2 linked regions of the Cricetulus griseus genome follow. The protein of the gene in region 1 interacts with the protein of each later gene in a pairwise test. Links are inferred from orthologs where the notes say so. Each region holds a gene or a part of one and is shown on either strand. Other genes may lie near its edges.

The links.
Region 2: the proteins of Arrdc3 (region 1) and Otub2 interact in binary tests that used the Homo sapiens proteins (3 or more experiments, as listed by UniProt). The two-hybrid records come from large-scale screens. The link is inferred for Cricetulus griseus from reciprocal best matches to the Homo sapiens genes ARRDC3 and OTUB2.

Annotation. Positions count from the first base shown.
Region 1 is NC_048595.1:301,361,214-301,364,867, forward strand, and holds part of Arrdc3 (arrestin domain-containing protein 3), read left to right. Parts: intron 1-324; coding exon 325-427; intron 428-762; coding exon 763-1,019; intron 1,020-1,273; coding exon 1,274-1,436; intron 1,437-1,669; coding exon of another isoform or gene 1,670-1,707; coding exon 1,708-1,862; intron 1,863-3,610; coding exon 3,611-3,654. UniProt on the Homo sapiens protein: Adapter protein that plays a role in regulating cell-surface expression of adrenergic receptors and probably also other G protein-coupled receptors.
Region 2 is NC_048598.1:102,678,251-102,681,904, reverse strand, and holds part of Otub2 (ubiquitin thioesterase OTUB2), read left to right. Parts: intron 1-20; coding exon 21-105; intron 106-477; coding exon 478-672; intron 673-1,646; coding exon 1,647-1,853; 3' UTR 1,854-3,654. UniProt on the Homo sapiens protein: Hydrolase that can remove conjugated ubiquitin from proteins in vitro and may therefore play an important regulatory role at the level of protein turnover by preventing degradation.

The DNA.
Region 1 (3,654 bases):
ACCTTTTTTTTTCTTTTTTCAAAATAAGATGTTGCCATTTTGAATTACAACCAAGTTTAAGACAATTTATGTGGAATTTGGAAAGGGTTTTTTTTTTAAATTAGTTTTCATTATTGTACACAATGGACTAAAAGTCTGCTTTGGAATAGGGTGTTAGGCCTTTAACCTATTTTATTGAATAGAAGTTTATATAAAGACAGAAGTTTGATATTTTTAAAAACTATCTGTTACAGGAACAAAATTGATTCTCTTAGTTACTTTTATAACAAACAATTCTGGCATTTTTATTAGTTCATACATTGATGTTTTTTCTCTTTCTTACAGTCACCCCAAGCAGGCACAAAAGACAAGACACTCTGTTGCTGGTTCTGCGCCTCAGGCCCAATATCCTTAAGTGCCAAAATCGAGAGGAAGGGCTACACCCCAGGTATGGATGCGGTTGGTGCCTACAAAAAGCAGTTTTCTTTATTAAGCATCTTGTATAAACTTGGCATTGTTACCGAATATAAACCCTCAGCATTCCTTACTTCGTAAAGCTGTGTAGGTTGTACAGATGGATCCCTTTTCTTTTCACAAATTATAGTCTCCTTTTTTGTGTAGTCAGGGTGAGTGAGCAGGTCATCTTTATAACAGTGAGTTATCCTTGCTCACTTCCAGGATAGCTTTTCCTCCATGGAGTTAGTTGAGCTTCAGAAGTCTACACCAGATACCAGTGTGTGCCTTTTTGTTTTCTAATAGTGAGTAACTGTTTTCCCTCTACAGGTGAATCAATACAGATATTTGCTGAGATTGAGAACTGCTCTTCCCGAATGGTAGTGCCAAAGGCAGCCATTTACCAAACACAGGCCTTCTATGCCAAAGGGAAAATGAAGGAAGTAAAACAGCTTGTGGCAAACTTACGTGGGGAGTCACTATCATCTGGGAAGACAGAGACATGGAATGGCAAGCTACTAAAAATTCCACCAGTTTCCCCCTCCATCCTTGACTGTAGTATAATCCGTGTGGAGTATTCACTAATGGTAGGTGTTCCTGTAAGAAGTTCTTATCACTTTTTCTTGAATCTGTGGGGTCCTTATTTTGACTTATTGATGCTTGGTAGACTGTAGATGTGTGTACAAAACATTGCATTATTACCTCACATAAACTAGGGCATTGCATATAAAAGAGAAGTTCTCTAGAAACTAAACGGGATCCCAGCTAATATCAAAATTAGGTTGTGTTTTTAAAAAAAATTCTGCTTAAATGCTGACTTCAACATCTGCTTACTGTTTAGGTATATGTGGATATTCCTGGAGCTATGGATTTGTTTCTTAATTTGCCACTTGTCATCGGTACCATTCCTCTTCATCCATTCGGTAGCAGAACCTCAAGTGTGAGCAGTCAGTGTAGCATGAACATGAACTGGCTCGGCCTATCCCTTCCTGAAAGACCTGAAGGTAATTTGATAATACATGTCTAAACTTACTCTATTATTAGTAGTAAGACTTTTTTCTTTTGTTTTTAATATTTTACAACCCTAGTTAAATTTTTATCTTTCTTCAGTTAGCATATGTAACCTTAATATTGTTTTGTTGTTTGTCCTGCTTGTTTTAATCACCAAACAAATAATTATTCTTTTACATGACATTTTTTTAATATCTACTATTCTGTGTATTTTGACATGCATAAGAACATGTTGTTCGAATTGCGTGTATCTTTTTCCTTCAGCACCACCCAGCTATGCAGAAGTAGTAACTGAGGAACAAAGACGAAATAATCTCGCCCCAGGGAATGCTTGCGATGGTTTTGAAAGAGCTCTTCAGGGACCACTGTTTGCATATATCCAGGAGTTTCGGTTCTTGCCTCCACCTCTTTATTCAGAGGTAAGTACCAAGTCAAGGATGAAATGTGCTGGGTCTCCTAGGAAACAGCAGTGCAAGCTTTTAAAAAAGATACAGGCTTTTAAAAGGTAGTCGTTTCTTAGTTAAGCTGATGATAAACATTTAGAACACCAGTTTAAAAGTTAGAATTGTCAGATCTTCTGACTTCATTCAGGAAATAAGGTGATGGCCAAACTTCGGTTGAATCATTAGCATTTTTTAATAAATGAGTTTATTTTAAAGTATCAGTAGAAAACTGGTATTTTGTAAGCATAATTAAATAGCTAGAATTTATATTGATCATAATCCTTTTCCAATCTAATTCTTTCATTTTTAACATTCTTAGTTATAGGAGAAAATAGCATATTTCCAAATAGCTTTTTAAGCCGGCGGTGGTGCACGCCTTTAATCTCAGCACTTGGGAGGCAGAGGCAGCAGGAGTATCTCTTGTTAGTTCGAAGCCAGCCTGGTTTACAGAGCAAGTTCCAGGACAGACAGGGCTACACAGAGAAACCCTGTCTCAAAAAAACCCAACAACAACAAAAAGAAAAAACAGACAGACCAAATAACTTCTTAAACAGCATTGTACACTCCTAGATTATTCTGCACTTTATATTAATGACACCAACACACATGTGAATAAGATGAGTACTTGCATTGGAAAAACTCACAGACTAGTGAGAAAAATTAACTTAGAAGGGAAAACCAGCCAGCGTCAACCTTGTTAGGAAACACCACTCATCTGATGAATCAATTATTGGGTCTTAGAAATCAGAAGGGCTTCTCTGAGAAGCTGAATTTTCAACAATAAGTAGCCCCTATACCTACAGTATAGGTTGGAAGAGCAGCCCAGCTGAAAGACAAGAAGGGGCTGTTTCTCTGTTGTACCTACACAGAGAAACCCGCCCTAGATGTAATTATGTAGAATCATCTTCATTAATTGTAGAGTACTCAGAATCTTTTCTTGCAAATTTTTGATTAGACATTTTTCCTGTCTTAGGATGGTTCATAAAAACACATGACTGAAAACCATTTTCCACAAATTTTATTACTTTTTTTTTTATTCTGACATTTCTTACTGTGTTCTGGCTTAATTTGAATGTTCATAGCTTTCAAGGGGGCATTTGAAAAGAATGATAATTAGAATTCACTTTAATTTGTCCTAAATTCTACACATTTCAAGATGAATATAATATAATTTCAACATTGTACAACCCTAAACTCTGGAATATGATTTAAATAAAAGGTAATTGGCTTTTTTCTTCAAAATGCATTTGGCATAAAAACTTCTGAGGTGATGTGGGTTATCTCATACTTAAAGTGAGCAGGACTTGTCCAGACAGATCTTTGAGTTAACCTTCACAGGACCCTTAGAAATGTTGTTCACAGAACCTAGGGAAGTGATGCAGTGACATTTTAGGACAAGAACAAAAGATACTTTACAAAGGAGTTGAGTGGTTTGATGGTGTACCCTAGTATATAACTGATTTTTAAGAACCCCAATGTTGAGTGAAAATACCCTTCCTAGTAACTTTGGTGAAATTGAACTATTCATGCATAACTATAAATCATATTGGTAACCTAACACCCTTTCATTCAAACATAACATGATCTTCAGATAGAGAGCATTATATTAGGGTGTAATCTGCTAAGCAGTCTTATGTATGCTCTGATAATATTGGTTACCTTTGCAGACTCAAAAGCAGTCATATACCAAATTAACTTTGTACATTTCATCTTGTTTCTACTAGATTGATCCAAACCCTGATCAGTCATCCGAGGACAGACCATCTTG
Region 2 (3,654 bases), on another chromosome or scaffold:
TCAGGTCTCCTCCCCTCTAGGTTCAAAGAGCGTGTGCTACAGACCCCAAATGACCTTCTGGCTGCTGGCTTTGAGGAACACAAGTTCAGAAACTTCTTTAATGCTGTGAGTTCACCTGAGCCATACTGGCCTTCCACAAGGGCAGAGCAGACAGGAGCAGGCAGGCTGGAGGTCTTCGATCCACCCACAGCTGTGCAGCTTTGTTCTTAGTCCTCCCACCTGGGGCTGGGGCAAGGCCATTCCCTGCTGCTTGGGGGTATATGGGTCAAGGGGACCTCAGTTTGGAGGACTGTCAGCATCGTTCTGCCATTCTGAATATATGGTAGAAGGAGACTCAATGCCAGGCCCCTAGATGTGCCTCGGAGCCTCAACACTAAGACTTGCAATCTCAAAATGAGCTCTGAGGAAGTCGTGTGTGGGGTGGGGTGTGGGGGACAGGTGCTTGCTGGGGTCTATTCTGATGGTGGCAGCGTGAAGTTTTACAGTGTGGTAGAGCTGGTAGAGAAGGACAGCTCGGTGTCCAGCCTGCTGAAGGTGTTCAATGACCAGTGCTGCTCGGACCGGATCGTGCAGTTCTTGCGCCTGCTCACATCGGCCTTCATCAGGAACCGAGCTGACTTCTTCCGACATTTCATTGATGAGGAGATGGACATCAAAGACTTCTGCACTCATGTATGTCCCTAGGGTCGTCCTGTAGCCCCTGGCCTAGGCTTTGCTTGTCTGTCTCTTACACATCCCAGGACCACTGTTTCTGCCCAGAGGAACATCCTTGCAATGTCAGCTAGCAAGGTTAGCACCTGGAGGCATCTTCCATGAGTGGCCTGAGCGCCGAGGCTTGAGCAAGCAGCTTGTATTCCCAGGGAATCGCCTATCTGGAATCTCAGGACTGCTCTGCTGATAAGCAGCTGAGTGGCAGCTCCTGTCATGCTAACCCTAAGATGGGCTTTTGTTTAGATAATATTTATCTGAAGGAGTGGCCCACATGTAAGGAAGTGGACAATTATGGCTACTTGGATTTTTTTTTTTTTTAATTAGGAGGTACTGGGCCCTAAGTTGGACGGCGACTACCAGTAGGCACAAGAACAGCTGCCCTCTTTGGGGTACCTGCCACCATCTCTGCCTCTCTGTTGTCTCTACAGCAGCAGGACTCACACACAGGCTCTGGCCACTGCCAAGCACTTATACTTGGAAGCCTTTGATGACAAGGTCCTCTTAGTTCTAAGTTCTGATGCTAGCCTAAAAGATTCCTCCCCTTTTGCACATTCCTTAAAGGGTATGGAATAAAAATGGCTCAGGTTTGCGGCACACCTTTAATCCCAGCACTCGAGAGGCAGAGGCAGGCAGATCTCTATGAGTTCGAGGCCAGCCTGGTCTCCAGAGCGAGTGCCAGGATAGGCTCCAAAGCTACACAGAGAAACCCTGTCTCGAAAAACCAAAAAAAAAAAAAATAGGTTCAGGTTCATTTTCTGCAAGCCCTGTAGTCTCTGTGTTGCTTCCATGACAGATGGTTATCAGCACCTGCGCTCACATGTGCTTGGGAAGAACCCCCCCACCCCACCCCCAGCACAGGAGACCATGATCCTGAGAGCCAGGGTTTCACTCACCCTCCCCGCGCCCCTCCTAAGTGTTTCATTTTGGCATTGCAGGAAGTGGAGCCCATGGCCATGGAGTGTGACCACGTCCAGATCACAGCTCTGTCGCAGGCACTGAACATTGCTCTGCAGGTGGAGTATGTGGATGAGATGGACACAGCTCTGAACCACCACGTGTTCCCTGAGGCTGCCACCCCTTCCGTTTATCTGCTCTATAAAACATCCCACTACAACATCCTTTATGCAGCCGAAAAACACTAATTTTAGGCCATGCCGGAGCCTGTCATCTAATGGACTGCATTCTGAATGGAACATTCTGCCTTGGCAATTTTTTAATTGATTTAGACAACTAGAAACATACAGCCTTTTGGGTAAAGCCACTGAACTGAGACCTGTGCCCACTATGGACTGTCATGACTTAATAGGAATTTTAGTATTTATTTTGATAGATGATGTAATGCCTGCTAACTCTGGACCAGAAAGCCAGGAACCCTATGTATCCGTTTACTGTAAGAACCTCGTTGGACCTATTTATTTATCTGGAAGAGGTTCCTGGCAGTGTTGACATGCCGCTGTGTAAAAATGGGGAAATCCGGTTTATCCTTAACAGGGACAGTAGCCTTCATAGGGGGGGAAAAAAAAAAAAAAAAAACTCAGGTCAGCTGTCAAATTCAGGTGACTCACCAGACCTATGAAGAGTCCAGCCCTGCTATGTATGTTGGGTGTGTAATGGTAGACAACTGTCTGAATGTGAGGGGCTTGTGTGGAGTTTCCTTCATGATGGCTGTGCTTTCCCATCCATTGGGGGGTGGGGGGAGAGGGAGTGGGGGAGAGAAAACATGAGAGACTTTTATACCAAAGTCAGAAAAGGGTTTTAGCCTTCAGCATGAAGCTCAGGTTGTGAAGTCCTTCTGCCTCAGGGCCACAGCTCTTGACTTTGAAGACAGGCCCTTCAGAGTTTGGCTGTCAGCCCCACTTGGATAAGGCTTGACAAAGCCGAGGGCTTGTACCTGAGTCAGTGTTTATGTCTGGGACTGGGGAGCTGCATCTGCCCGCCCATCATCTCCAGTGAATTCTAGAAGTAGGGTCTAGGTAGTCAGCTGGGTAGGGGTGTGTACAGCCTGGAAACAGGAAGAGCAGAGCACAGGGTCTGCAAGGCTCTTCAGTTTTCCCCAGCCCAACTTTGTAGGCAGCTAGGCATAAAAGAACAGACAAGCCATACAAGTTGGCAGCAGGGACGGTCCCAATGCTGGCAGCAGCCTCTTCGTCTGCACATGCCCCTTAACAGCCCCTTACTCGCCTTGCTGCCACCCGAGGACACTGGGGGACAATCAGCCTCCAGCTGGCCTGAGGCACTAACTAGCCATGCCTTCCTCTGTAGGACAGCCATGGAACCACCCACTAGTACCCTTCCTTGGGTGCAAGGTTCCCTCTCAATGTTTCATTCTGCAGGGCTTAAGACTTGTGGTGCTACAGTGAGGGTCTGCCAACAGTCTGCACACAGGACCAGAAGGATCCAAGTCTTAAATCTCACATCTGTATCTTTTCTTCTGCTTGGTGTAAGCCAAAAACTCCCAGATGTCTGGGCAGTGTGGAAACCAAGGCCAACATTTAGATCCAAGGGCCCCAGCTACTGAGTCTGTCACTGACACAGAGTATATAAATCTGACCTTCATCTTTTGTTAAGTGTCCCACCCTGATCTGGGTAAGAGTGTTTGTGACTATGACAAGTACCCTGGAAGAGCAGGCACTTATTTCCGTGACTATCTTCAGCCAGACTATTCTTCACTTCCAAGCTGAATGTATGAACATAGGATGCCTGCCTGGGCTGCTCCAAGGAGTTCAGATGGGTCTGGGAACAGGACAATGGGAACTTGGGAACATGCTAAAACCTGGCTGACCACAGCGATTTACTGGCTAGGCTACAGCAACAAATCATGCTAGCACGCCCACTTTCTGAGTGACTCCTGCACCCCTACAGCCACCTCTTTCTACACAAAACCCTGAAAATGCAGGTGCTTTAAGAGATCATCTTTGCAAATGCGTGTATATGCCTCACTTT